4 linked regions of the Drosophila melanogaster genome follow. The protein of the gene in region 1 interacts with the protein of each later gene in a pairwise test. Each region holds a gene or a part of one and is shown on either strand. Other genes may lie near its edges. The genes, in order: CG15293, TfIIEalpha, l(2)05714 and CG40045.

What was found.
Region 2: the proteins of CG15293 (region 1) and TfIIEalpha interact in a two-hybrid assay, tested with the Drosophila melanogaster proteins (one large-scale study listed by BioGRID).
Region 3: the proteins of CG15293 (region 1) and l(2)05714 interact in a two-hybrid assay, tested with the Drosophila melanogaster proteins (one large-scale study listed by BioGRID).
Region 4: the proteins of CG15293 (region 1) and CG40045 interact in a two-hybrid assay, tested with the Drosophila melanogaster proteins (one large-scale study listed by BioGRID).

Annotation. Positions count from the first base shown.
Region 1 is NT_033779.5:14,106,498-14,111,336, forward strand, and holds CG15293 (uncharacterized protein), read right to left. Parts: upstream 2,951-4,839; 5' UTR 2,755-2,950; coding exon 2,698-2,754; intron 2,644-2,697; coding exon 1,699-2,643; 3' UTR 1,560-1,698; downstream 1-1,559. Other genes in the region: CG46301 (uncharacterized protein), read left to right, coding at 1-157; CG31769 (uncharacterized protein), read right to left, coding at 3,196-4,077, 4,135-4,188.
Region 2 is NT_037436.4:11,679,906-11,685,107, reverse strand, and holds TfIIEalpha (transcription factor IIEalpha), read right to left. Parts: upstream 3,071-5,202; 5' UTR 2,886-3,070; intron 2,808-2,885; 5' UTR 2,797-2,807; coding exon 1,701-2,796; intron 1,633-1,700; coding exon 1,439-1,632; 3' UTR 1,303-1,438; downstream 1-1,302. Other genes in the region: Sugb (sugar baby), read right to left, coding at 463-526.
Region 3 is NT_033779.5:4,969,050-4,974,148, reverse strand, and holds l(2)05714 (lethal (2) 05714), read left to right. Parts: upstream 1-2,663; 5' UTR 2,664-2,852; coding exon 2,853-3,095; intron 3,096-3,364; coding exon 3,365-3,937; 3' UTR 3,938-4,002; downstream 4,003-5,099. Other genes in the region: mRpL28 (mitochondrial ribosomal protein L28), read right to left, coding at 1-12; CG14043 (uncharacterized protein), read right to left, coding at 535-2,337; Polr1C (RNA polymerase I and III subunit C), read right to left, coding at 4,003-4,864, 4,925-5,064.
Region 4 is NT_037436.4:24,025,871-24,035,229, reverse strand, and holds the start of CG40045 (uncharacterized protein), read right to left. Parts: upstream 6,716-9,359; 5' UTR 6,553-6,715; coding exon 6,507-6,552; intron 6,420-6,506; exon of another isoform or gene 6,292-6,419; intron 4,476-6,291; coding exon 4,373-4,475; intron 353-4,372; exon of another isoform or gene 253-352; coding exon of another isoform or gene 212-252; intron 1-211.

The sequences.
Region 1 (4,839 bases):
ACGCATTCCCCAACTGCGTGGAATGCCGCCTGTGGAGCTATCCTTGCCACTGCCGCCTTTGGATTTGGAGCGATTGAAGCCCATCACCTCGACATACTTGCAGTTGACACGCAGCATGGGACTCAGCGATGAGGATGCCTTGCGGTTCGACAATCTGGTGAGTAAGGACTTCAAGTACTCGCTGTAGACCTAAGCGAATGTTGAGAATGTATTTGAGAAGTTATGATAGTTTCCACTACGGTTAGTTGAATGGAAACATCCGATCTCAAATGAGCAATCACAGTTTTATTGAGCAATACGTTTATTTTTTTACCAAATTACTTTGAAACTTACATACATTATTGATGGAAACACAAAAGAAAAAAAAAAACGTTGTCAATCATTGGGTAATTCTTATTCCCAGTCATATATATTTTATATTGAACGTATTATATTAAATTTGAAAGCCGCTGGCGATGTGAAACCTTTATTACAATATCTCATAAAAAAAAATTTACAAATTTATACACCTACATATTTATTCTGTAAAAGAATCATACAAAGGACTCACCGAAATTGTTCAAATATTAATGCTTTTTGTAACATATTTTATGCGTAGTTGAATTTTACATATGTTTTACGCCTAAAGGCCAATGCGCAACTATTATTTGCTTTTTTGGCTTTAACCCGCATATTTAGACTTAAGAAAAAATGCTTTTACCACGATTTCCACACCATTTCCACTCGATAAAACAACATTTTTTTACTAATCTAGTTTCTTTTTTCTCTGACATGCTTGGCTTATAAATGTAACCCAACTAATGCAATGCTAACGAGCGAGAAAGACAATGACAGAAATGCACTTTTGTCAGCCGAACAACTACCACCAGGCTGTCAGCCACACAACTACAAAGAACTGCAACCGAATCACCCATGACCAACACATTGCTTTCGGCCACCAAATGCGTTTTGCACTGAGCTGCGCACAAAATTATGCAATAGTTTTTTTCGACGTGCTTTAATCAGTTTGCCGTGAAATTCCAATTGAATTTCTCGTTCCGCGCTGCGTTTTTTATATATTTATAATTTTGATCTCCTAATGCTTGAATTATTTTTGACTGCAAGTATTTTTTTCCCTTGCTGAAATGTTTTGTTTATCATGCTTAGTTTCCAAATGTTATTATTTTATATTATTTCGTTGATTTTTTTATTATCCCAATTATATTTTTCCTTTCTTTTATTTTTTACAGCTCAGTTGTTAGCGAAAACAAAAAAAATGTTTGTAATAAATTAGCTATACAAAACTATTAATGCTTTTTAATTAATTTGGCCAACGATCTGAAAATAAAGAATTATTAATTTCCCAAAATGTACACATGTATGCGAGTAGTTTTTGAATAATTTAGAGCGCTTTGTAGTTGCTAACATATGTATATTTAAATTTGCCAATATATATATATATATATATAAGCAGGTAAGTTTGTACAATATTTTCCATTCCATTTCGATTAAACTGAAAGTTATGTATCAAATCAGACACCCTTATCAAATTCCCACCTACATATATAAAGGTTATATTTCAGTGATAGATTGATTTAGAAATTTTATTACAATTTCTGGGTTTAGCCCAGGCTGATAAGCTTATTTATTAAACTGCGCTAAGCATTGTTTACAAAATATTGCGATGATTTCCATATATTAATATTTATAATGAGCTATTTACTTGGTCGGCCTCTGCTGCTGAGATCCTTCGTTGGTTCCTTTGACTGAGCTTAGAACAAATCTGGCAGTTAGAATTCTGCCATTCTTATCCACAATAGTCTTGACCACTTCACCATTCGAATTCTCAATTTCTGAGGCACTCAGATTCACTTGTTTCAAATAATCATCTATGACTCGATCTGATCCGTCGTCTCTTGGTAATGCTGAACTGAACCGGGGAACTGAAGTCCGCTGCGTGGTGGTTGAGTCAATCACTGGCACAAAGACGGGTTCCCTTTGGCTTGGTCGGGAATTATATACATAGTTGAAATCAATAGGTCCAGTAGATGGGGAACGAGATGGGGAAAAGACTGAGGTGTTAGGATTCTCGGCTGGATGGTTTGAGTCTGTGTTAATTGGACCAGGCTCTCTGGAGATGTCGGGGAATATCTGCTTGAATACATTACTGCCTGGGACCAGAATGCCGCTATAAGTTCTAGTTGTGGTGGTCACCTTGCGTCCCGAGCTATCCGTTTCCGTCTTGGTTGTAACTTTCGGAGTAACTCCCGCTGGCAGCTCCCAATTCGGAAATCTCGGAAATTCAGTGCTAAATATCTTTGTCTCGAAATTACCTGTACCGAAGTTGGAATCTCCAATGGGACGGAACTGACGACCGGCACTCGGCACATACTCCCAATCTTGCTGGGGCTTAGAGCCTGAATTATCCTCTAGCCTAGCAGGCAGTATTCCCTCTGAGACCTTGCGTCTTAAAATCGATCTGAAATCCGGACCTAACTCATAGGTCAAAGTGGTGACTTGACCAGCATCGTTTTGAGTTCTGATAACCAGCGGCTGCTGGCTGTGCCACATTTCTCGCAAGCCAACTTCATCTAAACCTATTTGCTTGGCCGCATTCAAAAGTTCCGGAGTCGGTTCGGCGGATAAAGAAGTGGCAGCTGCTCCCTGTGAGCGAAAGATGACGTCAGTTTCAGATTTCTGGAGATTTCCATGACCTACCTTCAGCTTCAGAAGCAGCAAGCTGACACAGATTGCCAGTAGATAGGAGTACTGCATATTCGATCTTTCCGCGACACTTGTGAATACTTCGATCGACAGAATCGAACTGATTTTAGAATTCTAATCGACTGACCTCGTCGCTTCTATTCGCAGTGTCTACTCAAAGGTTATCAACAGTTTTCGCAAAGTCGCCATTATCAAAGAGTGTTAACAGAATGCGTTTCCCAAAGCTTTCATAAAAACATATTGTAGTTTCTTCATAAGTTTCTTATAACAAATTGCTTCTGGATCCTGGAAATTCACTTTGTTAAATTGCGTTTAGAAGTTGAATCATACTGTAATGAACAAGAAACTACTATATAAGTTTTCAATACTTATATTGCCACTACAAGAAGGTTCAATGCGGTAAACATAGATTTATTTATATTATTTATACTAAACTTTTCTGTTAATTTAAATTGAGCTTTTCTTGTTCACATATCTCTTTATTTATGTATATCATTTTCCAGTGCGACTTTGATAGTTTGCCGCACCCCCTTGTTCGTTCTCATTGCTCAGTGCAAAACTGGCACTTAGAACGCGTCCTTGTTTGTCCACGATTGTGGTGACCACCTGGCCATCCTCCTCTTTGATGTCCGCGACAGTGAGATCCACCTTTGCCAAAAAGTCATCGATTGTCGAGTCAGTTCCGTCGCCTTTGGGTGCGAGCGTGGGCAGCGGGACCGAACTTCGCTCGGTTGATGTTGGTTCTGGGACTGGAACCCATATGGGCTCCGTATCCTTCAAGTTTGGGGGTGCCAGGGTAGGCAAAGTTACGATAGGCCGGTGTGTGGATGTTGGATTTGGCAGCCATCTATCACTATCCGATTCACTATTGGGAATGTGTTCATTTTCTTTGGGGACGTCTTGAGGGCGTAAATTCCACGCATCCTGCTCATTTACCCGCGGATCTTCTCGGCGAGGATTATTTTCATTACTGCGATCTTCTTCGGGAGGAATACGTTGCGGCTTAAATTCCGGGATAAACGGAAAATTTTGGAAGACGTTATAGTCAGGAAAACCAAAACCGACCGGGTTTAGAAAGGGATTATTGTAGACACTGCCAAGTCGTAATGTCGGTTGAAACTGGCTAAGTAAACATTCCAATTTTCCTTGAGCTTGCAAGAGCATGACTTCCGTTCTCCTTATGAGTTCCTCTTCGTTGGGGCTCAACATGTAGGTTTCCCTAATCACCTCACCGCACGGTTTAGTTTTTGTAACTATCCACGGCCTTTTAGTGATCCGCATATTATTTACGACTGTTTCAAGCACGTTCCAATGCCTAGCCTGTGCATACACAGAGGGGGGGAGTGGCCGTTCCATAGGCATAGTTGCTCCCATCTGCAAATGGGAAAAATAGTAATATTTTTTGTATGTTTGGGATATTAAGTTAGTTACCCGTAATTGAAGAAGCAAACTAATGCAAACAATCAGATGACTTTCGAAATTCATTCTTTGTTTTAAACCGGAACATGCGACCGCTTCGAGTACCTAGTTGAAACTGAACTTGATTCCGCATAGCGCACAATTGACGATCGATACTAATCGCGCTGTATGTATATATATATATATAGTATATATTTAGATTTATTCTTAGAGTCACGTATACAGCTGTTTACGCAGAGAATGAAGCCATCTTGAAAGGAACTTTAAGCTTTTTTCCCTTTAAATGCGGATACATATTAATAAATTTACAAAACTCAAAACTTCGCTCGTATTAAAATAAAAAAATTATTCATAAATAATGTAAGCTTATCACGTATGAGAACTGAGAATTGTTGTCTGCCATTTGCCAGCGGAAAAGACCGGTTTTTGCAGTCTAAATTGTGCTTTTCACTTGAAAAACAAGTCACTCCGCTCTCAGCCTTAAAAACTCATCATCCAACTATATGTTTCTACTCAGCCATTAGGAATAGTTCAGTACTGCGGGTTTTTAAGCTTGAGAGTGCGCCTTAAATTGACATTTAATGAGTATTCATAATCTAAAAATTCACAATAAAACATGTTGGGTATACCCGGGAATGCAAATTGCTCATCACCGCCAATAAAATTTTAGTTACAGAGCTTTGAATTTCTTTATTGCAAGTGTAATCCCAAGCTATT
Region 2 (5,202 bases), on another chromosome or scaffold:
AGCTCAAAGTTATAAGGGTTACAGCTAATTAAGTTTCGATTACACGACATAAACGTAATGGAATTGCTCCGATTGTAATTAAAAGCCAGCAAAGTGCTGCATCATACGATGGGAATCGAATCGTAACCCGAATCTGCCTGCATTAGCTTATCGCTATTTAACTGGACTTTCATTGCTCTATGTTCTCTATTGCGGGTGATTGCCTTATCTTCGAACATGGTGCTCTATATGTTCATTAATGCATAAGTGCCCTGTGACGAAATCGAAGCTACAGATCAAAAGTTCGCAATTAACAGCTAAATGTATGTACATATGGATGTACGTACACACACTCATATACATATATATACATATATGCAGCACGTGCGTGCCTCTGAAAACGAGAAAACATTATCGGCTGATGTAAGCGATGCGCGGTGCTTAACTTAATGGTTTTGCTAGGTATGGGGAAGGGGTACTTGCCGGCGTTGAAGAGAAAGTAGTGCGCCTTCATGGGCAGCAGCTCCTTATCGATGGTGGCCTTCATTTCGGCGTAATTACGTTGACCCGCGGCACAAAGATCAATACTATCGGTGCTAAACTAGCGCGTTTTTCAGTTCATTCACAAAAAATGCGAGGGCAAGCAGAAAGAGCATGTGCCTGCACACTCACACAGCCAGCAGGTGTTGTTATTTATTTTGCATGTGTGTTTTTGCACGCGGGATCACGTTTCTGCTCCAATTGGAATCCGCTGAGTTGGTTTAATCCGTTTTCCTTTCAAAGAATCAACACTTTTGCTCGTTGGCTATTCGAAGTGCAAGGGAACTTGTCGCACTTTTAGCACGAATTGAGTGCCGCACCACGCACAGTCCGCGGAAATCGAGGGCTCCGGCTAGATGGACATCCAAAACACGACTGAATGGAGCCGCTGGCGTTACGAGCCGAGTGTCAACATGTTTGGTTGTGTTTGCCGTCGTTTGTTTACGAATCCGCCTTATCTGCGGCACACCAATTATTATAAACTGAATACGCCCACCGACGAACAAGAAGAGGCGCCCGGCCGCTCGGTTTTTTATTAGCAACACTTAAATAAACCTAAGAAAAAAAAAAAACAATAATGGCAAACACAGCTGATTGGACCGACTAGGGATGGGAGTTGGTCCAGCTAGAGATGGCACTTGCTTACAAGCGAAAATAACGAGCTTTAATGTATTTTAAAATATTTGTCTATTTAGAAGATTATTGAAAACGTCCAATAGCTTCTATAAATTATAATACACAATTTTTTGCTCAAAATATTTCCCAGTATCAAACTCGGTCTTTGTTTATGCACATTTTTATACGCATTTCATTTGTACACATTCGCTCGAACTAGTGGGTAACTTAAATTACAATGACTCTATGCGTGAGATGGGAAACTCGTGGAAAACGTAGAAATCGTGGCTAATTGCAGACGCCCTCATTCGAATATATGGCTGTAGTGCTGCTGGTATACGTGTATGTAGTTCTCCTTCTCCTGCGGCGTCATCTGGGCTATCAGGTTGTCGTCCAGTTGGTCGAGCGGATGCGGTCGTCCAGCCACTAGCACAGTGGGCACATCGTCGTCCTCCTCCGCGGAATCTGAGTTGATATAATTGTCGAAGTCGACATCAGCTGCAAGTACAAAAACGTATATTAGAACCCATAAAAGATGAGATCGAGAAATGGTTGGTGCTTCTTACGAATCTTGGAATTTTCGATGTCCTTTTCGTCGTCGCTGGAATCGCTAGAGTTGGCGTTCGATGAGCCCACTCGCATACCCTTCATATGCGGCTCCTTCTGGCCCGGCTGCTTCTCATGCTGCAGCAGCACGGACATGATGTCCTCGTTTTCCTTTCGGTTGCGATGCCCAGATCCGCTTGCCGTCTGCACCGCATCGGCCGCGCCATCGGCAGCATCCGTGTCGGTTATCACAGTGCTCTCTGTCATCCAAATGGGGCGCGACTTGCGCTCAATCACCGCATCCGAGGTGTCGTCGCCGCCAATGGTGACGTCCACACGAGTTTCCTCCACGGCAAAGCCCTGGTTTCTCGTCGCCTCACCCGACCACGCCATGCCGTCCGGTCGCGTGGCGTTGGGTTTGTTCAGTCCTCGAATGGTGTCGATGTCCACGGGCTCCGGTTCGAGCACCTCTGGCGCCAGCTTGATGCCCTCCACCTCACGGAGCAGGTCGTACAGTGGCTGCAGCTGCTCGTTGAAGTGCGCTAGCATTAGGCGGGAGTCTTTCTTGGGCATGGCGGCGCTGTCCTCCTCCACGGAACTGCCGCAGAAGGTGCACCGGAACTCCAGCGTGGCCATGTCGAACAGCTGGTCCGCTTCGAGGTCCGTGAATGTTTTGGAACACGAAGAGCACTTAAAACTTGCTCTACTGGTGGCATCACGCTCCTCCGTCTCCATACGCTTGCGCATGAGATCCAGCTTGTACTTCACCACGTTCACGAAGGTCTTGTAGTTGATGAAGTAGTAATTGACCTTCTGCGCCTTACCATCCGGCCCCGTTTCCATTTTAAGCCTGATCTGGATGAACTTGTCGGTGCGCAGCGTGGTTATCCGGGCCCTTAACTGCTTCTTCTCGAAGCGCAACAGCTCGCCGATGTCGTCCTCCTTCATGCAGGGATTCCGCACCAGCATGTCGATGATAAGCGCATCCTCCAGGGAATAGAATCCACGGACCACGAGGCGCGCCAGTTGCTTCAGACTGCTGGGCACCTCGGTCACGTACCGCACCTCCGTCTTCGCTGGCGCTGCGTTCGCTGCAGCCGTCGATGTCGACGACATTGTGTGTTTATCTGGAGGATCGGCATTATTAAGATATATATAAACTGATTTTTTCCTTTTGTTGCGAGTGCTCTCCTCACGCCACTTACCAGACTCTCGAAACCGGAACTCCGGAAGCAGAGCACTTTGCGGTTATTCAATGCAGGCAGTGGGTCCGTGGATCTTCATGGGTCTACCGGCAGTCATCTGCTCGCTGTTTGCCCGTATTTCGTATGATTTTCCACGGCAAAAATAAAATTTCCACCGCCAAATTCTTCTTTGTGCAGCAATGTGGCCAAAGAAATTCCTTCGAAAGTCCTCGAAGCAACGCGAAAACCCCTAAATAAGCCTCGCCTTTAGGTGAAACACTTGGATAGAAGGGTAGCTACGCTTCAAACCGATTTTTAGCCCGCACAATTTAGGGCATTGCCACACCAAACTTTTGAAAAACTCATTTCAAAAACGTAGCGTTGAAAAACATTTTATTAGAGACATTAATTTAGCGAAGAATTTAATAATACGAAAATAATTTAGCTATATTTACTTTAAACCAATAATGTTGTTGTTAACTCGAAAGCATTTTGTAGAAATGTGTTTATACATTTAACAATTTTTTTAGAAACCAAATAACCTTTTAACAACTTTTTACTACTACGGAATTTGCCAGATTTGAACGCACTACATTTACATGTTTGTGCAATGGCTTTACTAACAACTTCGCATCTGAGCGCTGTTTGCTTTGAATGTTTTTGACCGCAGAAATGAGTGAAAATAATCCAACAAGTCGTCCTCTCGCCGCCTTTGTTTATCCGCTCGAAGTGCTTAATATTTCATGCTCCGCTGTCTAGGGTCGTCTATTTTTTAATGCGAACTTCGCCTTGCGTTCGAGTGCATTCCGGTGTAATCCCCCGGAACGAGGCTCGCCCACATAAAAAATACCATGGCTACAGGAGCAGAAGCCAAGCAGAAGCCAAGCAGCCGCCGCGGGGGTGGACTTTCCACGGGATCAGAGGTCGGGGGCGCAGACGTCTCCTTGCGTGTTTATTTGGCAGCCAACACACTTCTGTTGTCCTCGATGAATGTCATGGATATAATTGGACGCACAATGCGAAGTCCGAATCAGCTGCTCCATGTTTACAAATGCCAATTCAACAGACAGAAAATAGGCAAATTTATGGAACACGACGAATCAGTTTCCAAAGAAATTATTTTTGCAAAAAAAAAACTCGTGTTTAACTGGAAATCCTATCAAAAAGATTCTTTCATTGACTAATGATCAAATTAGCATTTAAAGTATTAAAACTAAATATAAAACTCAAAATTTAGCCTTTATTGTTTCACTTCTTCTGCAATAAGTTGACTTTTTGTCGCTTTTCTAACTTAAAATTTTTATAAAGGTTTTTCTTGAAATACATATATAAATATTTGTTGTTATGAATGAAAATTGAAACGCGTTTGAATGTGGTATCTTAATCTTTACTGTAACAAATCTTCAGTTATTTGCAAGATGGTTTATCCTAATATGTATGCTGTAATTTAGTTTCTGTACAAATTGAAATATTAAATAAAAATATATTGCTATTAATGAATATTTAACTTTTAAAATGTTTACAGTGCCAACTGCAGCACGTGAACACCCACGGGCGTCCAGCCTGCAGAGTTGCCTGAATGGCTCGGAAAAGCCCAGTCGCTCAAAGGGTGGGAAACTACTCCGCGGAAACTCCTCCTGAACTTGTTTACCTTGCAGCGGAGGGCAGGGCGCAGACTCAGCGAGAAAAGTGGACACAGACAGGGGAGTAGGCCGAAAGTGCTTAGACGCTTTTCCGAAAAGGAAGCAATAGATACCCTACAGCACTACGTCCATGGGAAAAGCTCTTTTCCGCGCGCGAGGGAGAGAGCAGCGGGCAGTGCGCAGGCTCTCGCTCTCTCTCTCGTTCGTTGCGGGGAAAACAGAAAAAGGCTTTTCCACTTTCGCTGTTGGCATCCGCCTGCAGTTTGAATTTTGAGTCGTGCGCGCTAACGCTCGTTTTCCACGCTTTTCCGCTCGACAATTTTCCAACGGCGGCCACAACAATTACAGGCGACAAAAGCGTGCAAATAAAAACTTGTGTTTCTGCTTTCCCAACGTTTTACTGCAGTTTCCTTCGCTGTCTGCGAGACGGCGGACTTTCTTGCGGCTTTCGTTTTTCCGTTCGCGTGTGTGTTTTCTTTCGGTGTTTTTGTGTGTTTTCCGCTGCGAATACGGAACGCAAAAGGAAGAGCCACGATAAAAAACACAAAGGAAAATTGGTAAAACGCGGCGCCGCCACTTTTGCCAAATTGATTTTTATTGTATGAGACGCAGAGTTCAAGCATTATATAAAGAATCAAGCAAGGATAAGGTTGGTTTTCAAAGCCCTCTTGCATGATTTGAATGTGTTAAAAACA
Region 3 (5,099 bases), 9.1 Mb from region 1:
GGCGTGTGCCATTTTTTAAGGAACGAACTAGCAGTTTACTGTTATTATTCACTATTAAAACTATAGTGGCAGTTTAAACTTGGCTATTAAACTATATTTTCCCTGATTTTGGCTAGGCCAACGGCGCTCTTCCTCTTCCTGTTTGGAAAAAACAGCTGTTCGTATGTGAATGGCTGGCAGCCAGGGTTGCCAGGTTTGAAAAGTATTTCGGAGACAGAGCTTCGTTCAATTTAGTTTTGTGAAATTTAGAAATGCTCGGCAAAAAATTGAGTTTCGAAGTAGTTCAACTTATTTATTATAATCAATATATGAAACAGTGCGCCAAGCCATACTCCGGCATAAGTACCATTCACGAGTAGCAAGAAATAAATTTATGCTGTCGGCAATTAAAATCGAAAAGCGGCTTACTTTCGCTATCAGAATGTAACATGTAAGTTACTAATGTATTAACAATTAAATATCCTTGAAAGAAACGCGATTTATTTTGACTACGTATAAAGCTTTTAGCAAATGCAATTAATTTTTTGGAAATTCTCACGCGGTTAGCCCAGCCTTGTTCAACCTGGCCTTAATCGTGTTTATCTTGAGCGGCAACAGCTGGAGCATTTCACGCACAACACCAATCTCGCCCTGCAGCGTCTCGGCCGCCTCCTTGTGCAGCTGGCAACCAGCATCGAATCTCTGGTAGTAGGTGTGGCAACTAGTTAGGTGCTCCAGCTGCTGGAGCGGATGGCCACTGATCAGCTTGTAGTAGATGCGACCGATGTGGAAGTGGGCGTAGAGCATGTGGCGTTGCTCCTCCACGTCCATGTTGGGTCGCCATTCCTCGCTGGGCGGTTTGACCAGATAGGATTTGACATAGCTCTCAAAGTGCTTGATGGCCTTCATACAGCTCTGATTGACCTTCTTGATGTCCTCCGGCGCTGGCGTGCTAGTGGCCCGAATGATGTCGAGACGGACATCCATCACGGCAGCATGAGCTGTGCCGGCTCCATACCAGCATTCTCGGCATATCTTCATGTAAAAGATGGGGTCAAGCAGATCCAAAAGATCTTCCAGATACTTGGCGCGACGCTTTTGCATCTTGGCCTGGTTTTCTGGATTCTCCTCGAAGAAGGCAATGTGCTCATACGCTTCGGCGTAATCCTGCATTATCTTTGAATACTCAGTAGCTTCGTTCTCGGCCTTGTAATAGTCCTTGGCTATGTCGAGCCACTCGTTCACAAAATGAAACACCAACTTGGCATCGTCGAAGGTCAGGCAGTATTCACAACTAATACGATTTTCACACGCGGTGAGGTCAAGTCCAGGAAACCGGGACTGTTCCGCCTCGACCAGCCGCATATTGCGCAGAACGATCTCCAGGTTCTTGGCATCCTCGTCATCTTCGTCCCGCATCAGCCGAAGCTTGGATGTGTTCATTAAATACAATCCATATTTGGCCCAACAGCGTGCCACATCGGCGTAGCGATGTTTAAAGGTCTCCGACACGTCCTGGCGCTGCTTCTCGCTCATCTCCGGCTCCAGCATGTGCACCTCATATTCGGCCATGATGAGCGTAGCAGCGGCCAGGTGATGACGGGCCTCCTCGAAGCGCTTCTCTCCAATATAGAACTGTGACAAGGTGGCGGTGTTCAGTGCGAAATCAATGGGATCGTATGTTTTTGACTCAAGCTGTCGATGGAGGGTGCGATGGCAGCACTTGGCCGACTTTTCCGGCTCACCCAAATGCCCGTACATTTGCGCCATGTAAAATGAGACTAGCGTGTACAGGGATTCCAGTTCCTTGGGACCAGCTTCGTGAGATTGTTGTCCCTCCTCCGGAGGATTGAACACATCTTGAATGGCCAGGGGCTTCAGACCACTGGCTTTGAAGTCCTCGTAGATTTTTTCTGCCTCCAGGAGAATTTCCAGTCCCTTATTGTACTCTTCCTTGGAGGCCAGCACAATGCTAAGCTCGTTGATTGCCCCAATGAATGGAATGATGCCCTCAGGGCACTCCTTAAACGGCGTGACTAGTTCCAGACAACGATTGAGCATCTTTTCGCCCTCTGCCTGCTCCTCTGTGTAGATGTAGATCCTGCCTAGATCCCGGCAAACGAAGGCCAACAGAGAGTGATAGCAGCGATCGTCCTGACCACCGTCCTCCTCGCTGGCCTGCACAGATACCAGTTGGTCGTCCAGCTGCTTCTTCAAGACAATTAGCACATCGCGCGCTTTATAATGGGAGCGGAATGGATCCGTGGGCGGATCATTGCGGCTCTCCTCCTCCACCAGACGGTTGGCCTTCTCGTATAGCTCCTTGAAGTCGCTTAGGATCTCCTTTGGAATGACCATGTTGGCTGAGCACCCACGGTGCAGGCAAAAGCTATCCTGAATTCGGCAAAGCCTTTTTATTTACTATATTTTTTCTCTATGAGTGTGTAGTGTGGCCGTATTGTGACTGCTTAAACTTTACCTGAGACCCAAACCATGAAAGAATATTTTATTTAAAATCTCAAACTAAATTAATTTGAACTATGTACAAGTAAGGTATTTTCAAAAAGTACATAACACAACCATAAACGCCTCTAATATAAACTTGAAGGCATAAAATGTTTATATAAACAAAACAGCTTAGTGTGACCGTTGCGCAGCAACCTCTATGTCGCAACCCTGGAATTAATTGCTGGTATTATAACGTATTCGATTACAGTCACACCGCATCGACTTTCAGATTTTTTTCGCGTCGCAAATTTTTGGAATATACCAAAATATTTACCACCATCAGCTATTAAAGACTGCTTTTGGCGCTCATCTTTCAAAGAATACTTTTCCACAAATCAGACAAGCTTCATCCGAAAGCGGGCACAATGCTGAAGGGTTACAAGACGGATGAGGACAAGAAGGTGAAGCGACTGTACCACCAACGCTATCGCACAGAGTGGGAGAAATATCCGGAGCTCTCCAGCTGGCTGGCGTCTAGTAATGACGGTTACTCGGCGCACTGCAAGATCTGCGACATCAATGTCCTCGCCAGACTAGCGTCCATCAAGCAGCACCTCGCAACGCGGAAACACCAGGAAAGTTTCAAGTACCACAACATTCTTGCCAAGGTGGGATTGGGTTTGTGCATAAGCAATAGGAATGACCCGTGTCCATTATTGATTCAAATATTTTGCGATCCAAACTAAATTTCAAACACGATTTTTGTGTGAGTTTTCGCCATACTTTTCGTTAACTATTCCATTGACTACTTCTTGTGCAATGGTTAACCAAACCAGTAGCTCCCTCTATGCGATGCACAACTTATCGCTCCAAAAAAAAAATTCTCATCTCATTACTAATTTACATAAAATTAACAACTCCGTATTTATACCTACAGAATATGATTAAGGGTGAACTTGTCAAAGATGAGCATGACCCAGACTTGGAGGCCTCCATAATTTCACCCAAAGCAAAGCCCAAAGCCAAATCAAAGACCTATCCAAGGCAAAAGCCAAGGAGCAAAATGCAGCCAAAGATCAAGAACGACACGAAGGTGGAGAGCATGGAGGAGGAGACGGAGGAGGACGAAATCGCCTCGAACGACTCAATCCTGGATGATTTACTCAGAACAGATCAGCCCTATCAAGAGCAAGAATTTGAGGTTGAGAACGAGTTCCTCGAAGTACAACAGAATGAAACAGATCTCCAGGACCAAGAGGTGGTCTACGAGGAAGAGATGATACAGCTCAAGCCGGAAGATACGGAGATTAATAACGAATACCAAGTCGACGCGATGACGGAAGACACCATTATTAGTGAATTTGACTTGTTTGGCAAGAGTTTGGCTCTGCAGCTGAACAACATGGACCTGGAGGACGCACTAATGTGCCAGGAGCGTCTGCAGGTGGTCCTAACGGAATTTCGCCTGAAGGTGCTCAAGCGCAAGAGAGAGCAAGCACGATCTTCGTAGGCTTACAATTTATATCAAGCTGTCTTATGTACATAATATAATTTCTTTAACAACTAAATAAATAACTATTCTGCCTCAATTTCGTCAATTAGCGCCCGGCACTTTCTCTTCAATACCTTGACCGCCTCCAGGAAGATGACATCGGGCTTCAGTGCGCCGACTGATTCCACGGAGAAAATGTAGTGATCTCGGATACGGGCCAAAGTCACAGCGTCGTTTAGCTGGGGATAGCGATACACATTTCGGCTGCACGTGTCGTAGCGTGCATCCTTTACATAGGCAGTTTCATTCTCGTCAATGCCAATTACTCCTGGTGAGAAACAGTTCTGTAATAGGTACGCATCCTTACCGGTCACCTCGCGGTTCAGCTTAATCATGGGCAGCAGTCGGTAGGTGGCCGTGGCCACCGGCGAGAATTTCGCGTGATCCCGTCCAAGTCCCTTAACCGCCACCAGGCGCAGATCCAACTCGTGACCCGGACGCAATTGGGCAATCAGTATGTCATCGTGAATGCAGTTCACAGCACTCTCGCTGTATATCTGCGCCTGCTTTCCTTTGGGCAGCCACTTCAGATGACCCGAGTACACTTTGTGGTTTTTGTAAATGTCATCGAAGTTGGACTGATCTTTTCCAGCATCCCGTCGCCGCGAGCACTTCACCTTCAGCTCAAATTCAAGCGTATCCTGCTCGGTCCCCGCCTCAGTGCTTTCCTCGGTGCGGTATGCGAATAGACGGGGATCAGCCCGCAACGGAAGTAGACCCATTCGATGGGCAAGTACCTCGTCCTGGATGATCGAGGTGTTGTTGTATATGTACACCTTTTCGATGGCCATGCTGGGCACATCGCTGAGCATCAGGCGACGGAAGGCATTTGCAATGGCGGGATACACGCCAATCAGATCGAACTCCAGGCCGTCTTCGTCGTTTCTAGAAGTGAACACCAATTGTTAATCGACTCGTAAGATTCTAATTTCTATTGAGATTTACCTGACGATTTTGATGTGCAGCTTTTCCTTGAAAGCCTGAACGGAAAATACATCGTCCGCCAGTCCATAGTCCTGCGGATCCTGCTTCACCCGATACTCCTCCATGTACAGAAGCGGCTCCTTGCGATTTTTGCTTGCCATTTGCCCCGGTGTTTTTATTAAATAATTTAACAAAA
Region 4 (9,359 bases), on another chromosome or scaffold:
ATGCGCAATCACAACATAAGGCCACCCGTATTCATAAGACGTGAGAAATATCGTTAATAAGCAGACCGAATAATAATGGACAAAAAGCATGCCTGAAAATAACCGAGACTTCACAGTCAGTCACCCTATTTCCAAATATGTTATATTTGAATACGGTTCGTTAAGTAGGATTGAATTCATATTAGCGGGCAGAAGGAAATCAGAGATGTACCTTGGTGAACAGTAGGTTATAATTAACCGATTGAAAAACATTCCTGAAGACGGTCCTGACAGGCGGCCTTGGCCAACAAAGGTGGTGAACTCATGATCGTCTTTTAGTAAGTACACGTTTAAAGGAAGGTACTTAGTTTAGCTATAAAATGATAATAGGTAATATCCGAGTTGCTTTATTTTTTATGCAGTGAAATTATAAAAGGTTCCATCCTCTATGGTCTTTTGAAATGGAAATGGAATGGACCAGCTTAAGTGCTTGGAGGGACCAGAATAACGCAGTAGTATACTCTATATTGGAGCTACGATTTTAAATGGAGTAAGCAGTTTTCACCAATTTGGTGAGCATCGATTGCTCGAAAAATCTTGTAGCATACGGAGCTGTGCAGTAAATAATTGCATTTTTCATTACTGTATTTGGAGAAATCACATTATCCAGCTGACCATGGAGGCGTATTGTAGGATTAAAGCAAAGACACTACAATAACAAGATGCGTAACGCCATACGATTTTTTGGCACACGATTTTTTCGCCGTGGCTCTAGAGGTGGCTCCAGGCTCTCTCGAATTTTTGGTAGAGAGCGAGAGAGCGGAGAGCGCTACAGCGAACAGGTCTTTTCAGCGCATAAAGTGATAGCAGACAACTGTATGTGTGCACACGTATGCTCATGCATTTTAATTTGACAAAATATGCCCTTCACCTTAGAAGTTCTTTGACTTTAAATCTATATTATTTTTGATCAATTGGCACCATTCGAAAAATTCTTGTTTTGCATTGCCTTAACGTTATTATTGTTTTTTGAAAATAGATTAGAAAAAGCCAAATCTATGTACATATTATCACAAAATAAATTTAAAAATTGACTTTATATAAGAATATTTGTCATTAGAGTATTCATCTTGCGGCGTGTGAAAAATTAATAAGGCAATGCTTGTTGATAAGATATGACCAAAGCAAAGACACTAGAATAATTCTAGTGTCTTTGATATGACTTTTGCAATAAACAGTTATCATATTCTTATGAAATTTATGAAATTACAGTAGTTATAATAATTTCTATTGTACTTCCTTTAATTATTTAGTATATTTATTAAGTCATTTAACATTAAAAGTATTTCAAAAGAAATATTTCGCATTTAAGTCACACAAGCAAGCAAATTCTATTTTTAGATTTCTTACGTTCTCAGCGTAAGCGAGCAGAAAGAGAGCAATTTTGGCCGTCACTAAAAAAGTGGCTGCATAGTGCCAAACCAATGTATGGCCGTTACGCATCTTGTTATTCTAGTGTCTTTGATTAAACATTAGCTACTGGGCATACGAGCCCCAACCACTATTAATCTGAACAGTAGGCGAATTTTTTCAATACTACTATAGCAGTTTGTTCAGCAGTTTGATCTAGTTTCAACAACAAAAATATGAGTTATTTACTCAAAAGGTAGACTTAAGAGATAAGAAAAAATAACCACTATTAATTCAAACGCTGCGTAATATAACAAATTTATTAATATTAGAATTGTATAACGTCGCCACACGTTTTGGCGTTGATTTTAAAAAGTTTTGGCAATGTCCTCGAGAAATCGAGTCTCACATCGCTTACAACTTCATTTAAAGACCGAAATGTTCCTTTGTGGCTCATTTCAAAGATCTCTTTTTATTAGCCACCAAAATTGTTTATGGGACTTAGATCTGGACTATTTGATGGCCAATCTAAAGCGTAACTTTTGTATATACAGCTGCGTTTAAAATAATAGCACTACTGCAGGTGGAAAGTTGATTTCGTAAAAAAAAATTATTAAATGTTTATTTTTTTTAAAGTCAGATTGCATGAATAATAAGTACCATATGTTGCATCTCTAAGCAAGAAATTTTTACTCTTTCAATGTAACGGTTCTTTTTTGTTTTTGGGCACTTGCTGCAAAAGTGCCCAAAATGAGGCGGTAACAAAAATAGCACTGACCACGTATTTGCTGAATAAAATTAATAGGGGTGATTACTTTGGTTTTTTTTCGACAAATTTTGAAAAACGGAGTTGCACTAAAGGTTTTAATTGAATTTTTTCCAAACGAAGACCAAAAATTCTCTAGTCATGGGTCGCGGAAAGCATTGTACCGTCGAAAAAAGAAATTTGATTAAAAACATGATCTCTGAAGGTAAAACCTACTCTGAAATTGGTCGCATTGTCGGTTGCTGAAACAAAATGATCCGCAAAGCACTGCTGTTTGTCGAAAAGAACGAAACATGGAAGAAGGAGCTTCAGATAGCTAAAAGCGTGGAAACTGTTCGCAAACGCTTAGGACAAAGCAACCTTAATGCGTGCAGCCCCAGAAAAGTCCCGCTTTTGACTGTTAAGCATGTCGCAAAGCGAATCGAATATGACAAGATTTCCAAGGACTGGCCTGTGGAGAAGTGGCACAACATTTTGTGGTCAGATGAGAGCAAAATTGTGTTGCTTGGTGGGAAAGGCTCTCGGTCTTATGTTCGGCGTCCACCGCCGTTGGTTTGGACATTTCAACAGGATAACGACCCAAAACAGACGAGCAAGAAAGCTCGAAAGAGCAGAAATCGATAAGAGTAATGAAATGGCCTGCTCAGTCACTTGAATCCAATCGAAAACCTTTGGGCGAACGTGAAAAAAAGGTTTCTGAAGTCAAACCCAATAATAACGAGGAACTTTGGGGTGTGGTCAAGGATTCAGGGAGCAAAATTCCTCAATAACGGTGCCAGGACTTGGTGGACTCCATGCCAAGACATTGGGCGGCTGTCATTGGCACCAAAGGTCACGCAACCAAATATTAAGATTCTTTAAACATAGTTCTTAAGATATAATCCATTTGTTGAATTATTTTTTCATTTTTTTGGTTAGCTTTAGCAAACTACGAGAAACAGTGCTATTTTTGTTACCGCCTAAATATGAAGGTTTTTTCGTTTTACCACTTATTTTTAAAATATCCATTAGATCTGTTACTAATTTCGTTATTTCGATTGAAAATCATTGTAGTATTTAAGTTTAGTGAGTAAAATAATGAAAAAGTGTCAGAAAATACAGAAACGATGGGACAAACACGAAATGTGCTTATGGTGCTATTATTGTTACCGCAAATGTACATCTAATATTACATGTACATACATATGATATCGAGAAGCCTTTCAGGGAATTCTTACAAAGGCATTTCAGGGAATGAATAAAGAAGCATTCCCTGAATGCCTTCATGTCGTAGTACTTCTCGAATTATGCTCGTATGCACATAAAACATTGAAATTTCATCATTGGTTTAAATGTAGTGATGGACAAACTCCTACAGAAAAAGACACGGCTGTAGAATCGAAAAATCTCGCGATCTTTACTCACCCCGAACCCAACAAAAAATTGTTGTTTGTAATAACACTTATGAACTGAAGACATTAGAATAACAAATTGCGTAACGTCATACGATTTTTTTCGCACACGACTTTTTGATGTTGTCTCTGAAGCTGGCTCCAGCTTTCTCAAATTTTTGATCTGTGATCTCAGAACTATAAGTTAAGCTTGTTTAAGATGGTTGCTACGCTTTTGTGAGTGGAAATCAATGTTTTCTGATTCTACATCTGCATGCCCAATCTCAACTCTCTTATGTCTAAACCATTATTTAAAATGAGTCTATGAGTCTTGTACATTTCTATCGATTTGAAAAAAAATGTTTGTGCCCCCACTCTTACGCACTAAAACCGCCCAAACCTGCCTCGATCACATTGTTGAAAATGTTTTGGATATTTTTCATATTTTTATAAGACTTGTAAATTTTTATCAATTTATCAAAACTTTTTGGCACGCCTAATCTAACGCCCTAAAGCCGTCAAACCGGTCACGCCCACCCTTTTGAACAACTTTATAATTTGTTTTCTCATTTTATTCCTCAATATCTATCGATATCTCAGAAAAAATTATGAAATTTCGCGTTCGCTTTCACTCTAGCTGAATAACGGGTATCTGATAGTCGGGGAACTCGATTAGAGCATTCTCTTTTGTTTTTGTTGGTGTCAATGGGACAGCCACAACAGAATTTCATTGCTTCATGTATGTCTAGTTTTCGCTTTGACGTACATTGATTGGAATAGCGTCTACAGTGATTGTTGCATAAATATGATTTTTTAAACGAAAAAGAATACAATGTTCATAGCATACTACAGTGTATCTGGCGGTCCAATTATTAAAACTTCCCAGCGAAATATATCATTCTCATCAATTAAACCAGCGGAGAATCCTTCCACTGGATTCTTGTTTAGTTCTGAAAAGATAAAAATAATTATTAATTTTTAGTAATCACGTGTAACAATCTGGTTCCGTAGGTTGTATTTTTTTAAATACGTTCGGCGAGGACCTATTTTATTTTGGATTATGACTATACCACTTAGACGTTGAAAAGAAGGATATGTCAAATTTGTTAAACTGTATATAACAGTAGAAGGTACCGTTTCTGATCGTAAAAAGTATATATGTATGTATATTCAGGATAATTTGTCATGAGCTAGAAAATTAAATTTAACATGCATATTCCTTTTGGTTTTTGCCACTGGTTTTTGCGTAATCTAATGCCCACAAGCCGTAATAAACTGTCACGCCCACCATCGAAAAATGGTTTGGTTTCCCAGTCGAAATTTAAATTATTCTATAATTCTGTAAAATTAGCATGTTTCACAAGTAAGAATTTTTCAGTTTTCTGATGGTCGACTAAAAGAATTGGACTGTCAAATTATTTGAAAACAAGAATATTATATCTATATTCTCTATATTCTATTAAAATTCTTTTGGCAAATCGATAAAAATTGACATGAAAAATGGGAAAATATATAAATGAGAACATATTTTTTAAAAAAGTTTGGCGTGGTTGGGCGATTACAGTCGACGTGCCGAAACTTCAATAGAAATTACAACCCACAATAAACTGAACAAAAAGTAAACAACAAATTTAAAGATTCGGCGATGTACAGTAAAGTTTTATGTCCAGTCTCTTACAGGTTGAATCCACTTATGGATTTAAATATACGTGTGTGCGTAATGCACGCTCTCTTAGGGTTGTTGTTTCAACTGCACATATGAATTTAAGATAATATGAAAAGTTTGAAACAGGTGAAAAAGAGTAAATCTGACTCTAAAACGTAAATATTTCTAGATCATGATCACTATTCGAGTCGATCTAGCGATATCTGTCTATCCGTCCTTATGATTGTCGAGATCTTGATGGAAAATTATAGAAAGATAAAATAAAGCATGTAGATGCTAGTGACTCCCTCTAGCGATCACAAACAAATTAACAAATTAATAATTTTTATTATAGAATAAAAACATATGTATAAACATATACATACATATGTATATAAAAAATCACATATACATACATAAATACATTTTTTAGTTAGTAGTATGAGTCAAACGAATTTAAAAAGCTCATTCCATTGTTGACATGTTCGATTAAATAACAAAGTATATGGTTTCATTTGTTTTAAAATACTGTTGCCCCTGTAGCAAAATGCTATTCGCGATTAATGGCTGAAAATAAGAAATGGGCTAAGCATTGTAAAGGTTGTAATGAACATTGTTTAACCCTACAAATAACATAAATGCTTTATTAGGTTACCTTGAACATCAATTAACCATAACTTTGTAGAGTGTTAACAAAAATATGATAATAATATATCTATCATTCGGCCAAGTCTTTAAGTGTTGTTGAATGTCTAAATCATTAGAAAACAATTTCTTTCCAAAAATTTTAATTTAAGGCAGTGAAGGGAACACTACCAAAATTTGTATATACATACACACATATGTGTAGATGTAAGCATTTATTAGAGTTAGAAAGTAATATATATTATGTGTACCTTCATACACATATATAAATTTATCTTTTCGGCATATTAAGCAAACTCCTGCTCAAATTTTATCATTAATTTGAGTACATAATAATATATACCACGAGATTTTTAAAAAGAAGGGTAGACACAAATATTTACACATATATGTATTGGCGCATATACACATTTATTATCCTATGTAAGAGTATACTATTAACTTTACAAAAAAGAACAAGAATTTATTAAAATTACCTTAAGATATAGGTAATATTTAAGCTACAAATTACATATGTGCACTCATATTACACATAATATATGTATTTGGTTGAGCATTGCCAGCTTATGGTTTTTGCACCAATTTTAAAACCACATGTGCAAGACTGGAAAAATAATTTCATATACATATGTAAAAACATTTATATATACATTCTTGCTCATTTATATACGTTTGAAGTTGTTAAACTTACCTGCCAATTGTTTTTTTAACAGTAAAGATGACTGAAGTTCAGACATTCTAAGTTGTATGATAAATGAATTGGTTCAGTTTAACGCACAAGTAATTAACACAAATAAAAATTGTATGCTTAAAAATAAGTTAGTATTGAAAGTAAATATAATGATCGACATCGACCACCGAATTTTCTATAAAGGCCAAACATAAAAAAGAACTAGTTATACAAGTTTAACACAGATCTAGCTCCTGTGAAGACGAATGTGACACAATAACACTTGTTTCCAACTACACTTATATTACATTTACACTACGTTTGACTGCTTCTGGTTGGCTAACAGGTACCGGGGATATATATATACAAATCCTATACTTACAAAAAAAATATAAGGGGCAATCCCAAAATGAAGAAAAACGGTTAATATCATCACATATTGCCAGCAGAGTTTGCCGTATGGCTGGTACTAAGCCCGGTTTAATGTATGCCAATAGACTTTGCGGTTAAATTTGTAAAAAGTTCTGTAGATATCATCCTTACCTTAACCTTTCTGTATTCTTTTGTTTATTTAAAAATATATGTTATCAAAATTTATGAGGATTAAAATTTATAAATACCAACACAAGTTCAAAATAGAATAGAATAGACAACATGCTTGCTCTTGATAACAAACCACTGTAATTGGATTGGAAATAAACAAGTTTATTGAATGAACAACATATTATTAATTTGCTTATAATTTTCTTATTTATGGTATTGAAGCTATGATTAATAACAACATAAATAAATTATTGCAGAGCTTTTGTGAGCCGATTACAGTTACAGCAGTTGCCCACATATACGATACCGACCAAAAAACATTGAAATGCAAGAATATTTTTTAACCCTATCCCTAACAAACGTATAAAATGCTTTAAAAATCGCGAAACGCATATTCAGTGTAAGAACCAATTGTTTTCCATATGAGTTTTTAAATAGATTGGCTGGGTTCCACTGTGGTTCTCGTCAATATTTTAAGTCCCACTTATTTTTCTACGCACTCTTCTATCGGTTTGCGGGCCGATATCAATTTTGATCTAAGAAACAAATTTACAGATTTCGAGTTTTGGCCAATGTCGTTGCAATATGACAGGATGAAATATTATTAAAAAATATATGCCGTAACTATAATTATTTTAACGAAGATTTTTTATACTCTATTGTTAAATTCTCCGCTCGAATATATTGCCGATTTATATCTATATTTACTTTAATTATGAATAATGTGTAAATATGTTATTAACGACAAACTTCAACAGGGGAATGTTAGCAGTTATTATTTATGTAGGCGATCTTACAGCATTAAAACTAATTTCATCATTATTTTAACTTTTTTTTTTTTTTTTTTTTTTTTTTTTACTTTGCTTTTATTTATTGAATCTTCTTGTATAAGAACTAACAATAAGTTTAAAAATCTTAACTATAACAAGTATTTTTTGAACAGTTGTATTATTTTTCCAACTGTTCTATGTTTAAACGGCCCTAATAATTTATTCGCTGGGTTGGTAGGTCCTTTCGCCGGAGACGGGAACGGCTGCTGAGCTGGATTAGACCTCGCGCTAGGTGGTTGGGGTGCGTGTGAAGCTTGCTATGGTATTTTTCCTTAAGTTCCGTGATTGCGTTGGTAACTGATGGGATATTTAAGTCTCTTTGGATGTTTTCACTCCGAACGTACCACGGTGCCCCAGTGATGGTTCTCAGAATCTTTGATTGTGCTCGCTGAATGATGTCAATATTGCTGTTGCTGGCATTGCCCCATAACTGTGAGCCATAGGTCCAGATTGGTTTCAATATAGAATTGTAGAGCAAGACCTTGTGATCTAGGCTGAGCGGAGAACCAGAGTTGATGAGCCAGTGTAAGTTGTTGGCTTTGAGTTTAAGTTGGGTTTTTTTGGCTTCAATGTGCCTGCGCCATGTGAGTCTTCTGTCTAGGTGTACTCCTAGGTACGTTACCTCGTCTGCTTTCGGGAGTGGTATGCTGTTCAACAAGAGCGGAGGACAGTCTTGTCTGTTTAGCGTAAACGTCACGTGCTTGCATTTTTGCTCGTTTACTTTTATTCGCCAGTCAGAGAGCCACTTCTCAATGTCGATGAGGTACAGTGCCAACTGTGCTGTAGCTTGGATAGGGGACCTTGAACGGCTAAGGATAGCTGTATCGTCGGCAAATGTGGATACCGTTAAGCGACTATTTGTAGGGATGTCGGCTGTATAGATGAGGTATAAGGTTGGCCCAAGAACGCTGCCTTGGGGGACTCCAGCCTCAATTGTATGAACAGTGGAAGTGGCAGTGTTGCACCGCACTGCAAACTTTCTGTCATAGAGGTAAGACTTTAGAAGTTTGTGTGTGCTTTCGGGTAGGGATATTTTAATTTTAAACATTAGGCCGTCGAGCCAGACTTTGTCGAATGCTTGGGATACGTCTAAAAATACTGCTGTACAGTATTCGCGATATTCAAATGCAGTTCTTATTTCCGTTGTAATACGATTCACCTGTTCAATGGTTCCGTGGCTTTCGCGAAATCCAAATTGGTGGGCTGGGATTATATTGTGGTATATCAGATGTTGATTAAGTCGGATCAGCAGGCATTTTTCGAATAGTTTCGAAATGCATGAGAGTAGACTTATTGGTCTGTAAGATGAAGCGACTGTGTGGTTCTTACCAGGCTTTGGAATCATTATGATCTTCATCATCTTCCATCGTTGTGGAAAGTAACCAAGTTTGGTGATGGCATTAAAGAGCTTGGTTATGTAGCGAACTGCAGAATGTGGCAGCTGGATGATCATTTCCGGTGTTATAAGGTCGTAGCCGGGGGATTTTTTCGGGCTGAGATT